4 linked regions of the Drosophila melanogaster genome follow. The protein of the gene in region 4 interacts with the protein of the main gene of each other region in a pairwise test. Each region holds a gene or a part of one and is shown on either strand. Other genes may lie near its edges. The genes, in order: Prm, CanA1, CG16721 and CG10508.

Evidence for each region.
Region 1: the proteins of CG10508 (region 4) and Prm interact in a two-hybrid assay, tested with the Drosophila melanogaster proteins (one large-scale study listed by BioGRID).
Region 2: the proteins of CG10508 (region 4) and CanA1 interact in a two-hybrid assay, tested with the Drosophila melanogaster proteins (one large-scale study listed by BioGRID).
Region 3: the proteins of CG10508 (region 4) and CG16721 interact in a two-hybrid assay, tested with the Drosophila melanogaster proteins (one large-scale study listed by BioGRID).

Annotation. Positions count from the first base shown.
Region 1 is NT_037436.4:8,742,311-8,746,925, forward strand, and holds the start of Prm (paramyosin), read right to left. Parts: upstream 3,001-4,615; 5' UTR 2,776-3,000; coding exon 2,653-2,775; intron 2,022-2,652; coding exon 1,965-2,021; intron 114-1,964; coding exon 27-113; intron 1-26. UniProt on the Drosophila melanogaster protein: Paramyosin is a major structural component of many thick filaments isolated from invertebrate muscles.
Region 2 is NT_033777.3:31,037,782-31,045,394, reverse strand, and holds the start of CanA1 (calcineurin A1), read right to left. Parts: upstream 6,022-7,613; 5' UTR 5,847-6,021; exon of another isoform or gene 5,411-5,846; 5' UTR 5,257-5,410; coding exon 5,085-5,256; intron 3,852-5,084; coding exon 3,520-3,851; intron 3,432-3,519; coding exon 3,320-3,431; intron 3,118-3,319; coding exon 2,972-3,117; intron 2,915-2,971; coding exon 2,697-2,914; intron 2,637-2,696; coding exon 2,543-2,636; intron 2,279-2,542; coding exon 2,153-2,278; intron 2,007-2,152; coding exon 1,925-2,006; intron 1,678-1,924; coding exon 1,600-1,677; intron 1,341-1,599; coding exon 1,256-1,340; intron 1,191-1,255; coding exon 1,093-1,190; intron 1,005-1,092; coding exon of another isoform or gene 849-1,004; intron 792-848; coding exon of another isoform or gene 615-791; intron 555-614; coding exon of another isoform or gene 405-554; intron 350-404; coding exon of another isoform or gene 290-349; intron 101-289; exon of another isoform or gene 1-100. Other genes in the region: CG33920 (uncharacterized protein), read left to right, coding at 290-349, 405-554, 615-791, 849-1,004. UniProt on the Drosophila melanogaster protein: Calcium-dependent, calmodulin-stimulated protein phosphatase which plays an essential role in the transduction of intracellular Ca(2+)-mediated signals. Many of the substrates contain a PxIxIT motif and/or a LxVP motif.
Region 3 is NC_004354.4:5,878,211-5,883,911, reverse strand, and holds CG16721 (uncharacterized protein), read right to left. Parts: upstream 4,044-5,701; 5' UTR 3,804-4,043; intron 3,379-3,803; exon of another isoform or gene 3,243-3,378; intron 3,094-3,242; exon of another isoform or gene 3,079-3,093; 5' UTR 2,860-3,078; coding exon 2,591-2,859; intron 2,527-2,590; coding exon 2,042-2,526; intron 1,978-2,041; coding exon 1,677-1,977; intron 1,616-1,676; coding exon 1,449-1,615; intron 1,433-1,448; exon of another isoform or gene 1,386-1,432; coding exon 1,123-1,385; 3' UTR 521-1,122; downstream 1-520. Other genes in the region: Usp30 (ubiquitin specific protease 30), read left to right, coding at 4,454-4,535, 4,590-5,701.
Region 4 is NT_037436.4:21,208,426-21,216,243, forward strand, and holds CG10508 (uncharacterized protein), read left to right. Parts: upstream 1-1,789; 5' UTR 1,790-2,305; coding exon 2,306-2,379; intron 2,380-3,624; coding exon 3,625-3,733; intron 3,734-3,801; coding exon 3,802-3,963; intron 3,964-4,356; coding exon 4,357-4,532; intron 4,533-4,703; coding exon 4,704-5,066; intron 5,067-5,336; exon of another isoform or gene 5,337-5,418; coding exon 5,419-5,672; intron 5,673-5,725; coding exon 5,726-5,951; intron 5,952-6,186; coding exon 6,187-6,687; coding exon of another isoform or gene 6,688-6,700; exon of another isoform or gene 6,701-6,889; intron 6,890-6,947; coding exon 6,948-7,076; intron 7,077-7,150; coding exon 7,151-7,358; 3' UTR 7,359-7,626; downstream 7,627-7,818. Other genes in the region: CG10510 (uncharacterized protein), read right to left, coding at 1-317, 373-1,248, 1,399-1,569; Trmt112 (tRNA methyltransferase subunit 11-2), read right to left, coding at 7,704-7,818.

The sequences.
Region 1 (4,615 bases), about 12 Mb from region 4:
ATATTGGTTTACCACATGGTACTCACTTGATGTTCAGCACCACCCTCGGCCTCCTCGAGACGCTCGGACATCTGAATGACCTGAACGCTGAGATCGGCTTTCTCGCGCTCGATCTGAAATTTGAAGAATATAAGCAGAGATTAAGAAGAGATTTCATTAGCGACTTGGTATAATGTGAAGGATCTATAAATACCCTGCGCTAGCCATGCTCTGTGGCTACTCAAACAGCCCATAATAAAAATTATAAATCACATTAATCAGTCAAAAATAATTATGCACATGCAACACCTAAAATAACAATGGCATCTTGCCAAGAAATCTTCCACGCAGAGGTGTAGCCATAGTCCGATTGCATCCACGATATATGCGTCTATATATGCGTATATATCTTTTGTGGGCGGCCGCACACCGCTTTCCTAGATTGCATTTCCAAAAAGGCATTCGAACATTTTTCGCTTGAACAGAAACATTTTTTGTTGGCTCCCTCGGAATCTAAACATTTGCTTTTCGCCTTTGTCGACGACCTCGTTTGGTCAATTTTGCGAATTGCAATTAAATGCTATTTTATGAAAGCTATGTGCGGCCATTGGGATTTCTGGTATTTGGAGCTGTCCGAAGCAATCATAAAAAATTCAGCTAACTGAAATGCCCCAAGCTTAAATAAAGAACGTATTGGTCTGATAAATCTCTTTTAAATCTCTCGCTGAATATGTTTGTACATTTATGTTTATGATAATACCTAGGCGAACATGTGTTTGTCCGTTCATTTGGCATAACAAAAAGTTGCCGATTGCCACAAAGGCCACGTAAGTACGGGCCGTAAATCCATTTGCGCCATATGTATCTTGTAGATACATGTTTTTGCCGCCTATATATGCATATGTGGATATGTAGAAAGAATGCCAGGCGGTGTGAAGACTTTTAATGTGCATGAAAATTATTTAATTTTCCCACAGACACACGCCCACAGACAAAAAGCGAAGATTTTCCCGTAGTGAGCGAGCGAATTTTCCTCTCTGCCGCCGCTGATCATGAAGATGGTGATGATGATGACTTTTTGGCTACTTTATTTTCTTTTCTTCTCTGCTCATATTTTGGTTGTTTTCAAGTTAATCATTCGCTTCTCTGTATTGAATGTCGTGCGCTAATTTTAGCCATTTTGTTCCATATATTGTGAGTGTGTGTTGGGGGGCGTTGTATCTGTGTGCGAGTGCGTGCTAATCCATAAGGCACAAAGTAATTAAATTTGATTTTTTAACAAAATTTTCAGAACATTCCTGGCCAGCCCATTCCATTCCGGCAAGAGCTCTTCGCATTTTCTAAATTTGTAACGCCCAAGAGGATTGCGCTGAATGAAGTGCACTTTCGGCCTGCGAATTTTCCCACTTTTCTCTGGCTGTTCCTGACTTTGCTGTCTTTGCGGCCGCTGTCTTTGCAAAGTCAGGGGAAAAATCATTTATCAATGCTCCGCAGGGAAGGAAAAGCCAAAAACGAAAGCGATTGAAGTTCAATGCACATCATTATCATTTACTTTCACACTTTCGAAACTCTACGAAGGGTAGTTTATTCTTAGATTTGCATTTGTTTGCTGACTTTTCTATCGGTTCTATCGCTACTGCTACTTTGGTCTATTTTGATTTTATTTTGGCTTTCCACATATTTTTGCTGTTTTTAGGGTGACATTTGCGAGGTGAAAAAAGTAAAAATGGTTTTCCCTGGCGCTTTGATTTCCATTGGGTCTCGGAGAATGCGGTCTGATCTTTTCTAACTTCCTCGGATATGTCATATCTCTGACGCCGATTTCATCAGCAAATAATCTTATTGACTAAAAACGATGCTCTCAATAAATTAAGAATGTTCAAAAATATTCCAAAGAAACCTATAGTAATACCTTAAAAATACTCGGTTCAAAAATAACTTAAAAATATTTAAAATTATGAATATTTCCATATTGAATGACTCACCCTTTGGCGCAACTCACGTTCAACTTCAAGATCATCTTGGAGCAAACGGATCTTGTCCTGCAAGAAAATGGTGGATACATTTATTGAGTTTGATCTTTTATGGGCTCGTTATTTCATATTATTTGATTAAAACATTCATTAAAAAGCACTTTACAGCACAGTTGATTGATTTCTTCACAAATTTTTCTTCGATGTTTTCTCGTGTATATGTATTGCCCAGAGGTGGCCATTACATAATTTTTTAGCAATGCATATGTATATACAGACACGTTTAGATACATATACAAATCTAGAATTTTGCTTCACCGAATTTTCTATATTTCCACACACAAGAACGCGCCGAGAACTTAACACACGAATATATATCTACGGTATATATGTGCATTTGATATAGAGTGTAGATGAATTTTTCGGGTTTCTTAGTTTGTTTTTCGTATTTTTTCTTGATTATATTCCGATTCTTTTTCAGTCTCTACACAGACACCGAAACAAGAGAGAGAAATTCTCGTAGATTTTGAAGAAAATTTGGCGCACACGCATTTCGTATTCCTATTCCCTGGTCGGAATTCCAACGTCTTTTTGGGGATTTGGTGCCCAATACGATGCCGATTTCTTAAACGATACCGGTCCGCTTCCAATTACGAATTCGAATTCGAGATTCCGAGACGGAGCGGGACGGGATCCTTACCTCCAAGCGGGAGAGCGAGCTCAGGTCCTGGATGTACTCGATGTTCACATCGGCGGTACCGGGTCCGGTGGACGTGGCACGGTAGGAGTATTTCGAGGAGCGGACAGCCTGCGATGACGACATGTTTGCTAGGTCAGATTTTCGATTTTGGTTCTATAAATTAATGTGCGATCGGTTCGCGTATCTAGTATTATGATTTGTGTGTTCCTCTCAAGCGAAAATCTATACAGCACCGCACGCAGTTTTGTAGTTGTCACCGAGTCACCGAGAAAATTCGTAATAAACGTCGGAGTAAGGCTGGTGATCTACTGAACAAGAGATCCCGTTGTCGTTCGAATAAAGAGTATTTCGTTGAATTGGTTTGGCCTGCCAGCTGAATTCGTCTATTTCAACGATTTATTCGGTTCCCTTCGGGAGCCTTCGGTCGCCGTCGGGCGCCATCGGCTCCCCGCCGATCGGATCCGAGTGGGATATACCCTGAGATATATCTATAAGCCACCACCACCACCTATGTGAATGTGAGTGGGACTTTCGAGTGACTTTTCACGCGGCCGTGTTGTTGTGTTAATTGCTCAGTTGTGTGGAAAATTCTTTGATTTTTCATTTCACTTGGGCCGAAGCTTGTGTGAACGCATTTTCACGCTAGTTTGCCTGAGAGCTTGCCCCCTACGAAAATAAACTCAAAAACACGAAGTACGCCTGCTTTTCTTGTCTTTTCTTTTCTATTGCTTACCTGTAATTAGCCTGTGTCATTTGTGCGTTTCATTTTGTGTATCTAGCGTCTGGCCAGAATGTATCTACACATAAATTTTCCCAATTCTCGAACGTACATACATATAAGTCATGTTGAAATATTTGGCATCCTCTGCAGATCATAAAGTTCATAATTTATATTTATTGGCACATTTTCTTGGTTCAGGGGCCTCGGATATTATTTAAAAGGTAGTGCCAAACCAGTATTCCAGCACGTAGTCCCTAGACTATAAAGATTGAGATATAATTCTGGGAGCAAACTTAAATAGAATGATTTGACTTTTGGAAACGGTTTCTAGAACATTAGAACATCTAGAATATTGAATACATTTAAGCGTTAGAGACTATATATGTAAATATTTGAATCGATTGATTTCAAATTGATTTAGCATATATTATTATCAAAAAGAAAAGAGGCTAGAGCATGAAACCCCAGCCAAATATAGAGCCCAAATATATATGCTATACAGATCTCAGGGGTATTACAACATTTTTACACAAGCAGAAAAATCATAAAAGTGTCAAAATTTTCTATGATATGCCTTCTAAATTATTCGCTAACAGCCAATTAGGATTACAGCAATGTTTTCTAAAAATACTTGACTTTTGGCATCGAAACGTGTTATTCGCCAGCATAAATAAATAGACGTAGAGAGTGTGTGAAAAAAAATTGTGCGAAATAAACAAAAATATACAATTTTGAGTGAATCCTTGGCCGTGCGGACAGCAGTCTGCTCAGCCTCAGACAATGCGATGTCATCTAACAATTGTTGTTCAATGGTCACGTAGATGACTGTCTCTGCATTATATCTTTTTGGCAACTGACGGGTCTCTCCATGTGCCCCCATAGTAAATACATATTGTGTAAATAATTTCTGTTACATTGCGAACACGCTTCGTTCGGCGATTTTTGGCTCACTTTTCCAAAGGAACCGAAGCTTTTCGAGTGAAAATTCTCGTTCGTCTTCGAGCGATCTCCTCCACCTGTGCTCCACACACAAACACACATTTGCCTAACTATACTTAAAAATGAATTTTCGCTTATTTTTAGCAACCGAATTTCGTGTTATTTGTGCCTTTTTTCTCGGCTTGCTCATAATCGTGTTCATTTTCCACACACATTTCACCTGAGGCCAACTGACGCACACATCTAGAGCTCTAGATGGGCTAACCATCCTTATATATTAGAGCAGTTTCTTGCTCCGTTCGC
Region 2 (7,613 bases), on a different chromosome or scaffold from region 4:
CCATTAAGGAACAAAGGAGTTGCCCTTTTCCGAAGGAGCCTACCAACTGGTAACCCACTGGATTGCCTACGACATCGACTGAGTTGTGGTGAAAGTATTTTAGTAGACACTAAAAACTATTTTTTTTGATAACAAAAACTATACTAAACTCATTATAATGTGGGTTCATTATGATTTTCTGGCTTGGTGGAGCTATTAATTGCTTTGTAAATTGTTTTTATGTTGCTGATTCAATAGAATATTAATAGGGTTCTGTAAACAACTTACACTGGTTAGTCGATATCGAAAGATGGGTGTAAATCATTGTGGTTTAGTGGCGCTTTTGGCTCTTTCAATTTCAATAGTTGAGGTAAGAGTTATTAAAATATTAGGTATAATACGAATCAATTCAAAATCTTCCTCAGATATCATCGAAATTTGAGTTCACAAATATCATGTGCAATTCTTTGGATAAACAGTTTTCCGACTTTGAGTATTGCTACATAAAGTCGGTTAATCGTAGCTACAAGTATGTGTCGATCAAAGCAAAATTATTTAAAACGCCAATTACCAAAGTCAAGGTATTTAAATAATTTGGTTAACAACATTTTCTCTTCTACAATTACTCTTCTCAGATCAACGGAGTAATTCTCAAACGATTTAATGGATATAATGGCTATAGACCTTTCATGTTCAATATCACATTGGATGCATGTAGATTCATGAACAACACAAAGTCGAACCCGATAGCCAGTTACCTTTATGATTTCATTAGGCCCTTCACCAACATGAATCACAACTGCCCCTACGATGTGCGTATATCCCTAATTAAATCCGATCTGTGCTTATGTTTCTGGTTTTCTATACAGCACGATCTCGTGATCGAAAAACTACCCATACACTTCGTTAATCACCAGGTGACAAAGGTCCTTCCCGTTCCTGAAGGGGATTACCTATACGAAACAAATTGGATGGCCTACGACATAAGGAGGGCTGTGGTCAAAGTGTACGGAACTATATCCTGATTAATTTATAAGGCATATGTTATAATTCAAAGTCCCTACACGCATTACATCAATTTGATCCTGAGAATACCTATGTGTGTTGACTTACCCTCCTTGAGGGAATCCCTTCCGCCGGACAAAGCGCCCACTGGCAGGGCGCCCGTGGGCGTCAGACCCTTCAGCTGGAGCACGCTCTCGGATTCCTCCCTGCGGGATGTGGGAATATTGAATTATTTAGCTGAATCCACGGGATTATAGGAGGCATTATGCACCTGAGGATGGAGAAGACGCGCGACATCTTGCCAATGGCCCGAATCTTATTCCGAATTATCTCTTTGCGCAGCGCCGACATGGAAGCTGCGAATTGAGGGCTCGATTAGACGGAATCTCGCGGGGTCACGGGGTAAATGTAATGGTAATCAGCTGGAAAACTCGCTGAAAAGCCGATCAAAGCAGGGCGCAAGGCAATAACTAAGCTTTTCGCTATCTTCGCTCAGGCGATTTTCGTTGGCTCAGGCATTTTTATTTTTGGCAGTGGGAGTGGCAATGGCAGTGGCATTTGCATTGGCGGTACTGTTTGGCTTCACTTTGGGCCTGCGTTTAATACCTGGCTTACCTGGCTTACTGGGCGTATTATTGTTATTGTTATTATTGCTCGCGTTCGCCGGCACGAGCACAATTTTCTTGCGTAGCTCTTTTGGTCGTGTTTTGGACGTGTTTTGAGTGGAAAGTTGGTGGTGGTGTTGGTACAGAAATTATTATGGGTGTTGGTAGTAGATTGCAGTTGTCGTATTTCGATATTTGGTTTCGGAAAATATTTTTAATAGAAGATTAGTTTGTAATTCACGTGTATCCGTATTGGCCCCACAACATCCAAAGCACTGCGACATTGACACACAGTCTAGTACGGACAGAATCGCTCTGTGGATCCCCAAACTTACCTTCCTCGAGCTCGTCATCGGGTCCGGCCACCAGTTCATCGTCTGAGCAAATGTTCAGGATGTTGACTAGCATCTCGGTTACCTTTGAATGGCATGGTAAATTGGATATTAAAATCACGTATAAAGATTTCAGACACTTTTGAAAGTTCTAGTTCGAGTATTATGGCTTAGTTCCATCACTGAACTCAAAATACATAGATAATCCCACCCGATTGGGTGCGAACCCACCTTTTCGCCCACGAAGGGCAGCGACCATGTGAAGACGTCCATGAAGTTGGGTAGCCAGTAGGGATGTGGCGAGCAGTTGAACTGGCGGATATTCATCACGTTGTTCTCGTACTTGAGCACAGCTGCCTTTTGTCAAATGGGTTCGATGGTTGACAAAATCAGCGCGAGCGGAGAAAGAGACGGGGCGAGTGCCGGAGAAAGAGATGGAAGAGAGGGTATTGCGAACGCAGCGCGATTTAAACTCGCACCAGCTCGCAATGCAGCCAAAAAAAGATTTCGTTATTTAAAAATAGCAAAGTCAGGAACAACAACAGCAAGATAAATAAACAACCCAGAAAGAGATAGGGTGAGCAGGGTGAGCAGAGGGAGAGAGGTGGAACTATCTCATACCTTGTTATTGTAAACATCCAGATAATTGGGGGCGGAGAATATGGTGATCAGCGAGGGGAAGCCCGTAACCTGGTTCTTCCGATACATGCGATACCTGAAGCGGAAGGAGTTCGATAATCATATGGATATTACACCATGGTACTTCCGATCCTACCCCGCATCCTGCGCCTCGTGCGCCCTGACTATCGACAGCAGGTTGTTCTTCTGCAGAAACTCACAGCAGGCCGAGTAGCTGAAGAAGTAGGAGCACCCGCGCACCGAGTTGTGCGAGAAGAACTCGTTGGTCTTCTCGTTGCCAAAGTCCTCCAGAGGATCGGACCAGAGCAGGTCGCACATGGGCCCGTAGGCCGGTGGTTCCCTGAAGCGATTCAGCTGAGAAAATCCGCACAGATGCATTATATTGTAAACATTTCAGCGCTGCTTTATTACCGTCTTGATGTCGTCGAGTGTGAAAATCTCGGGCGACAGACCGCCGTGAATACAGAGGAACTGCTGGTTGAGGAGGGCGGCGAGGGGCAGGCAGTCGAACGCTTCCATGCAGGCGTCGTAAATACTTTCCGAATACTTGATGATGCCTTCAACAGAGAAAAATTAATGAATTAGCGACGGAAGGAGATTTATAGCATGCATATTCGCACTTAAAAGCGCATTAAGTTCGTAAAGTGACTGAGGCATGCAGGTTTGCTCATTTTGTAGTTTATCTATATCAACGGGAAACAAATCAACTTTCTCATAACTAGCAAATTCTGGCATTAACTTCAGTTAAGTCCAACTTACATTCCTGCTTGAAGGTAAAGTACTCTGTGAGATGCCTGCACTCGTGATTTCCTCGCAGCAGGGAAAGCGTGGTGGGGTAGGTTATTTTCAGGGACCACAGGTAGAGAACGCACTGAAATTAAGTGGACCGTTTAATACAAAAATGGAAAACGCAGTATATATTCCTGATAAGTTAAGATACAATTTTCATATGGACCCACCTCAATACTGAAGTATCCCCTGTCCACGTAGTCGCCTAGAAAAAGGTACCTAGTGGTGGCCGGCGGGCCGCCCACTTCGAAGAGCTTTACGAGATCGAAGAACTGCCCGTGGATGTCACCGCACACGGTAATGGGTGCCTCCACGTCGATCATGTTCTTCTCCTCGCGCAGCAGGGCGGCTCCTTCGGTGATGATCCTCAGGGCCACCGCCTCCTCGATCCGCCCCTCCAGCAGAAAGTGCTGGCGCAGGGCGTCGAAGTTGGGTTTTCCGGTCTTCGGATCGTCGTATACCTCCGACATGGTCAGCTTGTGGGTGGGCGGAAGTGGAACATCTAGGGGAGTAACAAAGAAATTAATCAAATTATTAAGTAAAGATTATTAAGTAAATTGTTATCACCCATTTCCAGAAGAAGAAGCCCCTGGATTCAATTGTTAATTATATATTGTATCTTGTATCTTATATGACGTGAATGGAACATCTCTTTGAAAATGGGGTTTCTCGTATTGTTACAGTTCCCCTGAATTTTTTTCGGTGTAGTCTTGCATTGATAGAATTATAATAAACATCGCTGTCCGACGGCGATGTGGGTTAACGAGGTGCTGCAACTTAGCGCCAATATTCATTCGGTTTGGCCGCTTTTCTTGGCCCGGCTATAAAGAAAACCGAAATTCCGCCAGATGCAGCCACATGAGATTCGTACGCTAATTACAAAATTTGACTGAGTGAATATAAAAGTCGAAAATTGATTGGCACACACAAAACAAACAAACGTAATCGAACACACACACACATCGAAACGTCAGGGCGAACGCCATTTTTAATTGTCATAATTTGGGTAAATGTCTTGAATTTTGACGCAATGGCCAATAAAATGCCAATGTACTGCAGTTGTTGCTTGTTATGGGTGCTCGAAGATAATTAAATTAATTTTTATGGACTCAATAAACCAAAGAACAAAAGCGAGTACCGCATTTTCAGTTAAGGGTTTTAAGTTACGATGCCGAATAATTGATTAATAAAAGCACATTTATGGCAGTTGCATCGGAATATATGGGTTATTAAAAATCTGTAAATTATTTATGTATAAATAATGCGCATAATAAGCAATTATGCATTGTAAAATGGTCTGTAAAATAAATCGATTGAAACTTGCTCAAAGAACATTTTTTGAAATTAGATAAATTTACATGAGCTATAAAATGTTTTCCTTTCTATGTTTGTTTCCATTTCAAAAGTCCATTTATTAGTTTTTAAACATGAAAACTTAACGATCGATGTACTGCTCCTCGAGAAGGTGCAGCCATGCTATTGTTTTGAAAATTACAAGCATGACTTCCCAATTCTCAAAACACACTTTTCGAAACGCTTGCCTCCGCCGACTGAAATGTTCAAAGGAAATAATTTGTGAAACCCTCAGTTTTGACATTAATGACGGCGGTCAGCACATTGGAATGCCATTGAAGCATGATCGCATGTCATTAAAGATACAATCGCAGTAGGGAATCGTGCTTGGGATAATGCTTGATTGGGGTCCGTAGTGCTTATAGAGAGTAGAGATCATTACCATCGACCATGCGCTCCCTGGTTTTTGTGTACTGCATTTTCTGTTTGTTTCCACTGGCGGCTGTCGGAGATTTCGAGGAATTCGACGAGGACTTTGCCGATTTGTCTGAACTAGAACTTTTTGATAGCGATGATTTCCTCGTCACCGAACTTCGCGTGGAGGTCGCCGACATGATGCTTGATTATTTATTCGGCCCCTGCTTTTTGTTAAATTTTTTATTTTTTTTTATTAATTTTTCTGCGTTCTGTTGGTGCTGATTTTTGCGATGCCTTAGCTCGATATATATTTTTTAATGGCTTGACTGTTTGCTGGTGCTGAAAGTGTTACTAACACAGGAATTTAGATAATTATACGCCTTTGCCTAGCGTCTTTATGGACGACGAGACACCAACACAGAAGCGCACAAAACACACAAATATATTTAGGCAATAAATAAAACTTGTTGTTATAATTTGTATAGCTGTGGACTTTCTTGTATTTTTAGCCAGGCAATGCCAATATAGCGAGATAGAGACAACTTTCGCCCGCAGCGCACACGAAACAAATGTTGAACAATTAATATTTCAATTTGCTGCAATTATTCAGAGACGTATTAACTTTTCATTAAGTCATCACATTGTTTAACGGATGCTTTTGGCAAAGGGTAAGCAGCACTTCAATTGAGACGGAAAATTGCTCGACACTTTGTGCTAATTGCCCACAAAGCGAGCGACAACGAAAATAGCAATGGATTTGCGAAGAGACGGCCAGACAGGCACACACATATATCACTTTGGTCACACTTTGTTTGCAGTTCGCCGTTTGCCGCTTGCGATTATTGTTATTATTTTCGGGCTAATCCTTTGGGGATTCTCGGGGCCTTAGTCGCGATGATTTTCACGGGACACGACGCAACGCATTTCCCAAGTTGGCGCGACGCGATTTTCCTCGAAACTGAGCGAAATTCGCTGGCATCGTTTGGCATTCAGAAGACCCAATTTGAAAGCCCGAAGAAGATCGGCTGTGATCGGCCGATCTCACGCCCTTGACTCCCACTCTCCGCCGAAAATGAAAATATAAATAAGAATACACCACGCTCTCGTAGGGTTCCATCTATTTGTTTATTTTATTGGGTTAATGTCACACACGCACTCTGGTCTCTTCTTCGTATCACTGCCCTTCTGCGATCGTCGACTGGGCGACTGACTGCTCGACCTTCACAGACATTTACACATCTGTGATATGTCCACCCCCATCCCCATCTCTATCCTCATCCTCATTTCCACCTCCATGCCCCATTCCATGTCCACATCCGCTCTCAATGATTTTCAACTTGACCGTGATATTGATTGTGTGTGCGTGCGTCCGAGTGTGTGTGTTTGTGTGTGATTGAGCGCGAGTGTGTGTTTGCCAGAAATTGGGCGCCAATAGGTGGGTGTCGCTATAATTATAGTCTTGACTTTGTGCGCGCCTCGTGCAAAAATATATGCGATCTACAATTAAAAGGGGGTGTTTCGGTTCGGATAAGATTTATATTTGATTAAAAAAAAAAAATTAAAAAACATAAGAAATCAAAAGCTTTTATCTAACGATTTAAATTTAAATAAATACAGTTTTTTGGGTAGTACATTCAATATAGTATAGTAAGTTGATTTTTATATATATTTTGATAGCGCATTCGCGGTTCTGCTTTTCATTTGAATGCTTCGCTGGTGGAACCGATTTCATGCAACTTTTATGCGAAGCGTGGCAATATTTGCGCAACTATCTGTGTGGGGATGGGGATGGCCACATAAAAAACACAGCCACAAACAATATGTGTGTTTTGCCCCGTCAATGTTGTTTGTCGCGATGGTCAATTGATATGTAGTACGATTTGGCTGGGGAAGCGCTATATCGCTCGACAGACAGACAGTTCCATAATATATGCTGGGAAGGATGGATCGCCCGATTTCGGGCACTCGGAATCACATTCGGAATCTCCGAATCGGAATCCATTGCAATGCCAATGCACCCGCTGCCAGCCAAATGCGCATCGATGGCACTTGGATTTTCGATTTGGCAAAGAGCGGAGACGATTTTACTTGGACGCCCCCGCGTATTCGCAAGTCGCAGAGAGACAAAAGCGAGTCACACGACCGCCGCAGACTAGAAAGAAATACTTTCCGGTGCTAACCAGTGGGTGGGATTGGATTCGAGGGGGCTGTAAGTGCTCAGTAAGGGGTGCGGCGGGGTGCGATGGGCGGACCGATGAGAGCATTGCATTCCCAACGCGAAATTTTGGCAAAAGCGCTGACAGCTCAGCCCAGTCCAGCCCCCCATCCTTCTTGGGGTATCCAATGGCAATACGGGGTATTTAACTTTCGAAAGTGTCGCCGAGGAATAGAAGAGCTCAATAAGTGTCACTATATATTTTCAATCACTAATATGTTTCAAAAATATCATACGTTTGTGCTGGCATTTAAATAGGTATTTAAGTATGGTTTACTACTCTACTTTATTGTTTAAACACTGAGTGCGTGGAATAGTTGTTTGCAAATTAGAGTTATT
Region 3 (5,701 bases), on a different chromosome or scaffold from region 4:
TATCTTGCCGATGCAGCTAACTATCGATGCAGCTAAGCGAATTATACTGTAATCCATTGCGAAGGCAAATCGGTGAAAATGTAAACCGAAAACGAAACTAAAATTGCAAATGAATGCGAGGCGAGGTCATGGGCTTTAATGTCGACAAGGCCAGTTGTTAGATATTTAAAATTTAACCTATTTCACTGAATTTATTATATTGGAATCAGTGGGTAACCAAATCATTAATTAAATCTTAAATAATGGAAATGTAATTCGAATCTGGTACGAAATAGAAATCCGTTAGCAAGACGCCATCTAGCGAACTATTTCATGCTGTGCCGCCATCTGGCGGACTTTCTACATTTTACCCCGATCTGGCAACCTCTTAGATTCAAATTCATAGCGATGTCGCATATTTTAAATAATTTCTCGTTAATTCGCAAAATTAAAATCCAATCACATCACACAAATTAGATGATGTACCTTTCCCTTCCGCACCAAAAAGATGAAATCACTTGAATTCATTTACTTTGAATTTCGGTAAACTAGGTATAGATATATTCGTGAAGATTCAGTCGAAACACTGCTAATCAATCGAAACAATCAAAATAAATTCAATGGGAGTTACGGTCACAAAGGTCTAAGATATAGGATTAGTCCGGGGTTAGGGTACACGTGTATAATCATAATATATATATATATGTATGTACTATAAAGAGGGGGTTTACATTACGAAAATTGAGGAGCACACATAATTCACGAGTTCACTTTTCTTAACCCCCAAAAATTTGAATTTTGTGTTGAATATTCTTGTTATCACAGACGCTCCAGCACATTTTTGATTCCTTTCAGATGCCTCGGATCCCACTGGCTTTTTTGCAGGGGGATTTGCATCTGGAGTACTCATTTCTACTTGGTGGTTACGGGTGCGTGCGTCAAATTTTCTACGCAAGTGTCACGTCACATGGGAAAGCAGCTGCGGAATGCGGAATCCCTCCTCCTCCACACGGAAGATGCTATCCGCCACTCCGGTTGCCCTAACATCATGCAGATCTCCGCCAGATCTGTTGTTCGCCTACAGGTGTGTCTGAGTGTTGTATACTGGTATCTTGTGTTGCCTAAGACGGTAGACAAATCCACCTAAGGCTTGGCAGTCTGAGCCTGGCCAGGATTTATGCCACTGGCCGTGGAAGTGGTAGCCTCCGTTTCCTCACCGGGCAGCGTTTTGTTGAGTATCTGGTGGAAGTGCTCCCCGAACACGGCGTGGTTGTAGGACACCAGACGACGGAACGAGGCGATAAATGCAACCAGCTCCTCTTGGTAGTCCGCGAATCCTGAGGGCGGCGGCGGAATGCTGCCATTGGAGCGCAGTGTTACGCGCACATAGCCATCCAATCGTTTGGCTGCAAGCGATTTACGTGAATTGAATATAAAATACATTGTATTGCATAAACGAGTAAACTCACCCATCAAACTGGGCACCGGCGACGTCTTGTTGGCCAGCTTAAGCACCTGGTTCTTGAGCGCCGCCTGGTCGGCATCACTCAGCGCAGGCAAGTTCTCCTGCTCCAGGGCCTTGTTCACAAAGGAGCGAATCTGCTCGTAGCAGCTCTCAATGGTAGAGGCCACTTGGCTGTGAATTGAGGTTGAAGAAGGGTTAAAACAGCGCTCGGCTAGAGCACGAGGTATCTCACTCCTGGTTCTTGATGTCCTGCACAATGATGTCCAGCTGCTGGGCCAGCTTGATGCGGTTCTCGCGGCGCTGCGATATGATAGGCATGCCCTGGGCCACCGAGATGAGCGAGGCGCACAGGATCAAGCGCTGGGCTCGCCAACTTAGGCCGGCGAAGCGCTCTTTGTCGATGCGCAACAGCTCCGGGAACTCCTTGTCGGCCGGATAGTCAATCAGCTGCATGTAGGCATTGTAAATGGTCTCATCATCGCTGCTACCGGACCGGTGACGCTGCAGCCAATCCTCAGTGGCCGGAAAACCAACTGGAAATAATGGCATTCCCAATAAATAAAGGCATTGTAGTTTTTTTTTTGGCCAACAACCCACCATTTCCATGGAACTCGCGCAAGTACTTGCTAAACTTCTCCTTCTCATACTGCACCGAATTGGCAGCGATTTCGGTGCGCGCCAGTCGAAGCATAAAGTTGGCCATATCCAGCTTCATCAGCGTCATCAGCTCGAGAATGCAGCGAAACGTGTCCACCACATCGTCGATCTTGCGCAGAGCGGCCACTGCTTCGTCCCTAGCTGGCGAACAGGATCGCGACAGGATGTTGATCACAAAGTTGGCATATGCTCGAAAGTCCAGGGTACCCCGCTCCGCTTGCTGGCGGATGACGGAGTCATCCAGCACCTCGTTGATGTGGGCCAGGGCACGTTCGTTGTTGGGCGACAGCAGCTGCGGGAAGCACTCCTTGATCTCAGCCAGCAGCCGGATGGCCTGATCATACGATGGCGGCTGGCGGTCCAGCTGCACACGCAGCAGATCCCAAAAGGCCTTGTGCACCATCTTCTTGATGGCGCCCTCCAAACTGTGGACATGGGAATGTTAATTGAATGGTTTCCCTGACAGGGCTGCTGCTGGCACATGCTCACCTATCCGAGGGCGGCTCGTACTTCTGCAGCTTGAAGTCCGGATTGAGGGCTATCTCGTGGGCCAGCTCCATGTTGCGCAAATTCTTGAACATGCTGGACACTTCGTCCAGGGTCACAATTTTCGGCGGAGTACCATCCAAGCTGGGCAGCACGAAACGCGTCATGCTTTCCACGGAACTCTCGCTGTCCGTACGGATCCGGCGCTCCTCGTGCTCTTCGTGGTCGCCCGATTGTCCCGACTGTTCACTCCTATTCTCCTGGGCATCCATATTCAAATTCCAGTCCTTTGTTGTCTCCTCACGGGCGGAAGTGCGACGTTAGGCAGCTGCAGCAACTGGTTTCGACCAAATGCGAATTTGGTTACCACCGGTTAGAGCCAGTTGTATATATGGCTTGGTGATTATTACAAGGCAATTGGCAACTGCACTCGGGCTTTCTTTGTTCTTTGTTCGAGGTCGTCGCTAAAGCTCCGCTCGGGGTCAGTTCGCCTGGGAAAGAAAGGGGGTCTTAGATACAGTGATCGCAAGATACAAGTTACTCTTCCATATTCCTTGATGCGGTTTCTCATATTAGTATCGATTTTCATATAGAAGAGTTGGCAGGAAAATATTTTTAGGTTTATAATTGCAACACATAACCAATTTTCAATAACCTGTTGCTGTGTGCGCATATTTCTCAACCAAAAATAGTGTTTCAATTGTTATTTTCGAAATAGGTATTAGCCAATACCCACTGTAAACAAACACACGGAAGGAACCCGTTAAACGTGACTCGCACACACACACAAATGAGCAAACAAGTGCGCGTCTGCTTGCATGTATGAATGTGCGACAAGGAGAGAAGGCGCAAAAGATTTGAATGGAAATAAAATGTAACACTTTCGAAAATTCTCAAATTTTCTAGAATATGTAATTTGGCAAGCTGCGTGGCACAGATTCCAAAATTAAATGTGGAAAATGGGAGCAAATTGCACAACGGCCACGCAGCGAATAGACGACATAAACAAACGGCGCAATAAAGTAGCAACAAAAACAGAAGCGATTAGGTCCATGCGAGTGTGTGTATGTGTGTGTATGTATTTATGTTTCGTTGTTGTTGCTTTTCCTATTGCGCAGCAAGTCAGCTGGGGAAAATTGGAAAATTGGGAAATAGACACAAGGACGATGCAAAGTGGCTGCATTAAAACAAGATGAAAGCCAATCCGAATACTTACAATAGGAAGAAACGACGAGAAGGTTCCAGAGTATTCCGTTTTACTTTTCCCAAACAGCTGATTCACTTTCCACAATCACAGACAAATTTTGCAGTTAATTTTCACTCAATTATGCTCCTCCAGGAGGATTTTTATTCTAATCTGAACTATTAAGAACGACGACTGATATCCGAATGTTTCCGTTTCGATTGAAAACTTTGGTTGTTGTGCCTACTTTGTTTTCCTTTATTACAATCCCCTTTCCACACAGCTGTTCGAGGTGCCTATCGAAAGTTGATCAAATCGTCGCTATCGATAGACGATACAATAGTATGGGAAATATATTCTACGTTTACAAATTTAAGCTGTCAAACTTATGTTTGTTTAATGCTTATAGTAGAAACATTCACATGTACAACGATTCGGTTGAATTTTAAAATACTTGATTTTCTCTGCAAATTTAACGATAATTGCGCGCCAGTGTTGCGTAATGGCCGCACGTTGTGGTGTTAACAACTGAATCGCTTTGCAACACATCAAGAGACACAAAAATTTTTTCGGTCTAAATTCCTAACTAGAGTTAGTCTGTGTGCGATTTTGGCGGCGGGATTGGGAGTTCCCGGTACCGCAGTGATCTGCACCGGAAAACCAGCCATCGGAAATCTCAAGCCATGGAGAGCGAGAAGATTCTAATGGCCGCCGGAGTGACGGTAGCCGCCGTAGTCGGAGCCTTCGTTTTCTGGGGTCCTTCGGGTGAGTAGTAGATCTTCCATGGCGTAGTTCCCTACTCCAGCGAAACATTTGCAGGTTCCCGTTTGCGTCAACGACGCGGCCAAATTGCCGGTCTCCACAACTTTGGACTGACCTGCTTCCTAAACACCCTGCTACAGGCGATGGCCGCCTGTCCCCAGTTCATTGCCTGGCTGCAATTGTACAACAACGCCTCGCCGGATCGAAAAAGCTTAATTACGTCGATGTTAAACACTCTGGAAGTGGTCAATGGCACCCATGCCACTCTGCGCGGCGATCCCTATTCACCGGGAGCCGTTCTCCGGGCTCTGAATGCCCTGGGCTGGGTGATTCCACAGGAGGAGCACGACGCCCACGAGCTGTTCCACGTGCTATTGACCTGCCTGGAGGAGGAGGCCATACGACCACAGCCCCTCGGCTGTCTGTCGGATGCTCTGCCCACGGATAACGATGATAACAGCAGCTTGGCAGGCACAGCAACGCCAGTAGGGGGCTTTCGATCATTTAGCTCCATGGCAGCGGGACTGGGAGCCAGCCAGAGGATCGGGGATCAACCGAACCGGCCCTCCAGTGCCATGCTCACTGATTTCTTAAACATGGAGTATGATGAGAGCACCAGTTTGCAGCGATTGGTGCGTTCCGAGGCCCACACACCGGATTCGCCTGCCTCTGTTTGCGAACGCGACGGAAACGATCGCCTGGGATCCGTGCTTCTGGATGCCGTTTCGCCAGGGACACCCTTTGGCTTTCCGCTCGTCAGCAATCCGGATTCCTTGGCTACGCCTATGTTGGGCGGCGAGCGTTCGTCGCGACCGCGACTTCCACAATCCCAACAGCAGCAGGATGAGGGTCTGAATCGCCGGGTGTCCAGCTCCTGTCGATCGCTAGAGCGCCTGCATCGCGGACCAGGTCGGGTGTCCATCTGGTCCAACATGATGCCCAGCCAAGTGGCGCATCCGTTTCAGGGCGCCATGGGCGCACAGATCGTGTGCAATGGCTGCGGCTCCAAGTCGGCCGTTCGGTACGATAAGTTCGACAGCATAACGCTAAATCTGCCGCCGCAACGCAGAACTGGCTTGAGTTTGGGCCACTTGCTTAGCGAGTATATCACATCGGAGGATCTGAGCGATGTCAAGTGTGACTCCTGCAACGAGACCACCACGCACACC
Region 4 (7,818 bases):
AAGTCGATCAGGCGCTGATTGTCCTCAGTGAGGCGACGCTTCTCCTCCAGCATCAGCAGGTTTTGAGCTTCGGCCATCGCCTGGCGGCGCCAGAAGTTCCTGAGACTTTTGTTTAGCTCCACGAGTTCCTCCTCGGTCATGTCCACGTGATCTTTCAGGTTGAGAGTCTGCAGCTTGAAGTATTCATCGACATCCACCTCGGTTTCGTCGAATACCTCGCCGCCGAGGATTACCTTTTCCGATTCGGTTTGCAGTTTCCTGCAAGTGATCGACAGGGCCAAGAGTAATTCCCCACTTTTCACGTGCTTCTCCATTTGCTGGAATAATATTTCAATTTAGAAATGGGTAATAGGGCTTGGGACAAAGGTTCACCTTGGTCAACTCGTAGCACTCGCCGGTCAGGATGCGCAACTTCTCGTGCGTGATCTCGCGATCCATCTCCTGGTTGAGCTCAATCTTCTTGCGCACGTTGGTGAAGTACTGGAACTCCAGGCGAAGATCGTTGAGCGTGGAGTTGTTCTCCGCATCCATGCGAACCATTTCGCGCTGCAGTTCCGCCTGCATGTTGATGTACTTGGACTCCTCGGCGTTTAGCTTGCGTGACTCCTCCATGAAAGCCGCCTGCCGCTCCGTCAGCCAGTGGATCTTCTCGTACTTGTGGGCATCCAGTTCGGTGCTCCTCAGCGACTCCACGAAGTCGTTCAGTTGCTGCTGCATGTGCGTCATCCGGCGGACAATCTGATCTCGAATCTTAAATCTGTTCTCAATCTCCGTATTCACGCGATCGTCGCGCTGCTCCAGGTAGATAGTGTAATCCTCCTTCAGCTGATCCCGGGTGGTGATGTTGGTGGCATGGATTATGTTCTCGGAGTTCGTTTTCATGGCTTCCACCTCTTCGGTGCGCCGGCGCACCTCTTCATAGTAATCCCTCAGCATCTCGTCAGCCTGCTGGTCATACATGCTCTTCACCCCGCCCAACATCACGTGGAAGCAGTCGCGAATGTGATCAATCAGCTCCACCGTTTTGCTGTAGCAACGCACGTGCTGATCCTGCGTCTGCGCCATGTCGTCCAGAAGCATCTTGATGTGGTCGTTCTTGGCCTGAATGTTACGTTCCGAGCGCTCGCCCCAAGCCCTCATCTCCTCGTTTAGCTCCTTGATCTTGATTTCGCGGCACATCTCGTGCCACTCCTCGTTGCCTTTCTCCTCCATATGCTTGCCCATCTCCAGCTCGCGCATCAGGGCATCCTGAGAGGATCATGGCGCAACATTAGAAATGATGCGTTTACAATTTTAATATAGTCTTAATATATTATTTTTATTATAAAAATTAATAATATTAAGGATTTGCTTAGGTTCATCCTTAATAAAAACTCTGCGAAAGTTAGTTGAACCCACCCGCATGATGAGCCGCTTCTCCTCGATCATAGCCAGTCGCTTGGCCTCTTTCTTGGCGGCCTTCTTCTGAGCCTTGGTTAGTTTGGGCGGTCCTTGTGGCTCCGGCTCCTCCTCCAGTTCTTGGAGGTAGTTTTCCGAAACACGCGTCAAGCGTGCCAAGATTTCGGCCATTTTGCCGATGTGTAGTTGTAGCTGAACTAAATGCGTAAATCAAAGGTGAAATTTTTGGAAAATTGACGGGGGAGCTAAATTCGAATTGTGTGCCTGTTTGAAAGCTGAATCGAAGTTTGGCGCACAGCTTTCGACGGGCAAATTCCAACACTGGATACCAGCTTTTTTAACGACTATTCGCACAGCATCTGAAGCTTTAACGCCCGCCACTGATTTCCTCAGTTGACTCTCAAAGCTTGGCTCGCGAGGTTGTTTATAGCGTCGCGACTCCAGGATTCCCCAAAAACGATTCCTTTCCGGGTAGCTAAAGCCTGGCTGGCTTGCTTACTAACGGCACGCCACATCGAACTGTGTGTGTGTGAGCGTGTGTATCTGTGTGTTGCGGTCCTTTTTCCCGGCAGGCAGTGCCTTGTAAACAAAAATAACTCTGCTGCCGAGGAGAGGTTGCCATCGAGGGTGGTTACAACCCCCAAATCTGAAACATCCGACGACAAAGGCAACTACAAAGCTCCGCGCAGGATAAGTGGCAAGGGCACTCCTGCCTGCCAACTTTTCGGGGTTGCAGACAGTCGGCAAACAAGCTGCGAATGCGACTTTAAACGTCCATAAACATTCAGGCAGAAAACGAAAATAATAAAACGACGGTCGTTCGGTTTAACTGGGCATCGAAGCGCCTCGCATCTGCAAGTGCAATTGTTACTGTATCTGCATCTGTATCTATTCGTGAGCGGTGAAAATGAGCGAATCCGGTGGCTATCAGAAAATGCCGCCCGGCTGGGACTGCAAATACGATCAAGCAACTGGAAATTGGTGAGTTGCATGTGCACAGCCCGACGTCATAAATATTTATGCATCCATTAACCACAATGTCGTGAAATGCGGACTGTACTGGGAGATGTGGTGGCCAGTTGTGGGATATAGGGGTTCCATTTGATAGGTTGCCACGGGGGCAACTGATAAATTTGCGTGCCAACGTCGCTTGGGGTGGCTCTTTCGGTGGGCGAAGGATTATGGTTGGGTGTGTGGTTGTGGGTGTATGTAGGGGGCCTTGGGGGCGTAAGTCGCTTACTTTAAAATGATTGGGTGGTAGGCGTCCGGTTGAGGTGGTGTTTGCCATGTTTGGCCTTATAGTGATAAGGAAATTATTCGTTAGTTCGGTGGCTTGCAGAACTTAGTTTTGAAACACCTTTGGTATTTAAACTCTTAGGACGCAAGCTCGGTACTAATTTAAATTATTCATTTAACACACAATGGAACGAAGTACAAGCTTGGATTGGATATTGGCTAACTTTTCTTCAGCTTATAATCGAAAGAACTTTCTAACATAAAATTTTCAAAATGTTTTATGTTTGAAGAAAATGTTTTAATTTAAATTTAAATTATTATTACTGATACGCAAAACAATTTTACTGAACTCTAAAGACCCAGCGTGTGGGTACCATGTGGTTCCCTATGGGCTACTTAGCTTAGTGCTCCTTAGCCACTCCAATTGGCCTCGTTTCAGCGGCATAAATTGTGTCACTTCCGCGTCGTCGGATGCCAGCGGGGTCTTTAACATCTCCTTAGCCTATCATACATATATACATATAACTTAACCCCTTATGCTTAAAAAGCCATGTGCAATTAAGCAACATACGTTGTCATACGTTAATTCAAGAGGCCACTCAACCGAAGACGAGCTTTCCATCCTCACGACGTCCTCGTCGACATCCACCCTCTCCATTCCGAAAATCAGAGCAGAGATGGCCTGTCAAACGACGATGAAAATGACGACTGTGCGTCCGCCTTTTGGCAGCTACTTGGCACGTGCCTTGGTTTAGGCGGTTCCTTCACCCTTTACCTGTCCGTCCTCCCAAGGGACCATCAACATGTGGGGAGAATCCCAAACCAATCCACTCCAATCCAGTCCACCACCAACCGGCCGGCTTTAGGATGTGCCTCCACCCTTGGCCTGAATCCAAGAGCTTTCGAATGGCCCTGGGTGGGAGGTCATTTGCTGACCTTTGATTTGATAGAAGCTCATCTTCCATTCGGCTGCCCTTCTTCCCGTTCCAGCTATTACATAAACTATCTGACGAAGGCCATGCAGCTGGAGGATCCGCGCGGCCGCAGTTACAGGCAGTTGCAGAACGAACGCTGTTCCACGGAGTCGATAGCCTTGCAGGTAACCTCCGCTTCCTACCCTGCATTTTATTGATTTTTTATTCGAATGGGAACCCTTGTACTTTTCAGCAGTTGGTCAGTCAGCCGCAGACGTCGCACAACAGCTCGCCGTACCACGTCCATCCCAGCAACAACTTGACTGCAATTCGGGCCTTCCAGGAGCGCCAGCAACCCACGCTGCACAACATCTCTACCAGTCCATTGTTGTCGGCCTCCTCCAGGGGACACTTGGTGAGTATGAAATGACCTGAAGATTGATTTTGATAGAGAAACTACAGCCATAGTTGGCAATCAATAGGCAAATCACGTGTGGGTGCGCATCGAAAAATCTGTGAGCATCATCAAAAATGTGCATAAGTAGGTCGTTCTTTCGCACAAAAAATACGCAATTACCTTCTGATATAGTGATTACAACAAGATATCCTGATTGTAGATACTTGTAAGAGGCTAATAATAGATAATTCAAATAGGCTGAGACCTTCAGGAAATAGTTGTATGTTTTTTAAGTTAACAAACATGAAATTCCATGAGTAGTATCCGAAGCCCCTTGCTTACTTTGCGTTTAAGTATCGATAATTGGTTTGAATGAATTTTTTATTAATTAATTTTCCACCTAACCCGCAGGAAATGTCTTCACCTCTGCCCTTTCAACGAGCTCGCGTGGGACCGAATCTCTCGCGGCGCTCCACCATTCAGGAGACCTCGTTCACCACGCAAGCGGAAACGGATGCCGTGGTGACCAAAATCCAGAACATGTTCCCCACCGCTGGCGAGAACCATATACGTCTCCTGCTCAAGCGGTAAGAAATTGGTCCCGACTTCAGCTAAGCGCTCGTGCCAGCTCAGCTGGCGTACTAATCTGCGTACTTACATCTATGTCTTCTCACACGCCGCCTAATTCTGCTGCTTACTGCACCTGTCTAACCCCACGACTAAACGCTAATCCCACGCTTACTAACCCACCACTCCAGCTACTACAATAGCGAGGCGGTTGTCGTCAGTGCGCTGCAGGTGGAGAAGCACCCGGTTACCATGCCCGGACCCTTTGTGACGCCCCCTTCGCAGCGGCACCTCTTCCACAGCGGCTCCGCCTTCTACATGACGCCACCGGCACGTCGGCCGGACACGGTAGCTAGTCGGCGCACGTCGCGCACGGCCAGTCCCCTGCCCGGCGGACGCTTCGGTAGTCTCGTGAGCGTGCAGAGCGGTCCTGGTGGTCCAAGTGGCCATCAGGCTGTTCTGCCTCCCAGCTCGGCTGTTCCGCCGGCTCTGCACGGATCGCCCCTGTGGCGCAGCTCGCCCAGGCCGCACTCGTCGCCCAAGATGAAGCTGAGGTTCGATGGGGTTCAAAATCGAGGGACATTTCAAAGCATTGTTGGATTGCTTTAAAATCTGTGTTAACCAAAAGATCGGATTTAATCTCTTACTTTACAGTTTTTTATTTTTTGCTTGTAACAATCTATTAAGGGTTATTAGGCTTGGGTTACTTATAAAAAGTTCTGTATCTTTTAATATAATTCGTTGGTTTTAAATTGGTGTTTTGTTAATGTTTTGTTGAAACATTTATTTTATATAATCCAAGGTAACATATTAAGTGACAAATTTTTAAATTCTCGATGTTGTAACATAATATTCTTTTAACTTAAATTTTCTTCGATGATAAATAATATCCAAATTCCACCATAGATACATGAAGAATATATTCCCCAAGGCGGACGAAGAGCTGCTTCTGGATATCCTGGCAAATGCGGATAACAACGTGCAGTTCGCATCGGAAAAGTTGATTTCTTTGGGCTACACAAAAAGAGATATGCAACAGCCACACAGACCCAACAATCGCCCGCCGGACCTAAATCAAGATCAGGAGGCTGGAGGGGATCAGAGTGGTGTACATATACCGCTGAGACCCAAGGAATACACAGAGGAAGAGAAGACAAAAAGTAGGTTTTAATTGTACACGTAAAACACTTAAATAAACATCTTTTACTTACAGTGCAAACTTTGCTTAAGGAGAAGTACCCACAGATTGCCGAGCGCATTATCCTAATGGCTTTGGAATCCGTCAACTATGCAGAGGATAGGGCTACGCAAATCCTACAAATAGTCCAGGACGAGGACGAGCAGAGGGAGCAAAAGCAGGCTCCCATGAATCCCAAGCACCTGGATCTTAAGAAAACCACAGGAACCGAGCAGATCGATGGTGCCAACGAAAAAGACAGGTAGCCCTTGACTTTATGTTTTCCCGCTCACGCGAATAAAACCAACCGATCAAGGTCGTTGGCACCCGCTTTTTCCACCCACTCAATCAAGTTACTCTCTTTGGCTCGCTGCTTTATCCGTTTTTTAATCGACTGCCTATTTTCTATGTGAACTTTCTTTGCTGCCTCCGCCTCTGACTAAATCCCCGAACCAAAAAAACACTATCCGCTTGCCTCGCGCCACTTGATCATCCAGCCTGCCCGCCGTGGTGGAGCCCACCACTTCATCCAAGCCGAAGCCGCCGCACAAGCGCCACATTCTTCCATCGATCAATGTCACCACTCCATCAACGTTCACCACCCAGATCATTTTGGCACAGGCTACGCCCACACCAACGCCCACAGCGGAGGAGATGAAGCTGGAGACCCATCTGTCATCCATCTCTAGTGCTTCCTCATCGCATTCATATGCCTCACCCCCACAATCACCCCGCATCTTCCAGCAAAGCTACGAACGCCTGACCACCAAGAGCATTTTGGCCAAGAGCGGCCATAACCATTTTGGCCACCAGAGCGATACCAATAACTACAGCATCGACGGCTACCTGCATGGCTCCTCAAATGCTAGCTCCTACTCCTCCTACTCCGCATCAATGACGTCCTCATCGCTGGTCTCGTCGGCCCAGTCCAACTCCTCATCCATCGCGAGGAGGCCAGCTTTCGAAAGTCGTGCTCGCACCAAAACCGATTCACTGAAGTATGCCCGCTAAAACCAAAAACCGTTCCGATAACCGTTTTTTTACCGTTTCGCTAAGTAAAATCAATCGTTTTGCGCATGAGTTTTTCAAGGAGTTCGCATGGATAGTATCGGGAAATCCGTTTTTGAGATATTATTTTTGAACCTGTTAACTATATTCTTTCGGCATGCCTTAAGCTCAATATAAAATATTAAATCTTTGAAATATTTTAGTTTAATATAAAAAGAACTTTTATACAAATTTAACCAATTCTCAACAGACATCGTCAGCACTCCCTTGGAAATTCGCATAATTCGGAATCAGCTGAATTTCAATCTATTATCGAACGAATGGCCAGTTTGGGACCCAATTCCCAGCTAAGCAAGGGTGCAGATGAAAATCTTTTGCTGTAAGTAGTTCAACTTAATGTCGAAGTAATAAAAACAAAGACTCATCTATGAATATAATTAAAATTATTTTCAGAGCCGATTATGTCACCTGGAATGGACCCAACACGAAGCTTCTTCAAAAGCAGATCACTCAAGGACCTAATGCTAGTCTTCTCACAGATCGCACCTATAAGCCAAGGGGTGGGAAATCGGAACTCTGCAAAGGACCCCAGTCCGGATTGGCGAAGGGCAGCATCTACGCCCAAGGCAGCAACAAGAGCGCCAACATCAAATGCAACTAGGCGGGAGTATCTCATCTGGAACCTCCCCCAGAGTGCCAAAGAAGTGAAGATGAATCTTAGTAGCCAAGCACCACCCTCCACATGTTCAGACTTACGATTTATATATGTCGTAGTGTTTTTTGCTCTTATCCTTAAACACCTACCAAATACCACACGAGTACGTAGACTCAACAAAAAAAAAAAAAAAAAAAAAAAAAAACGAAGTCACATTCCATCCAAGCTCCAATTGTTTTTAGTAACTCGTAAATAAACAAACTTTAAAACTAACAAACTTATTTAATATTAATGCGCGTCTGGAGAAAGGGGATTATGGGGATTATGGTACAAAAAGCACATGGGTGTAATCTAGACCTCGTCCTCGTTAAGGAGCATGTTTGGTATACCATCGCTGATGGGAAACACACGACCTGTCTCCGGGCACTCCAGTTGACCCTCGAGCACGTCGATCTCGAAGAGCAGA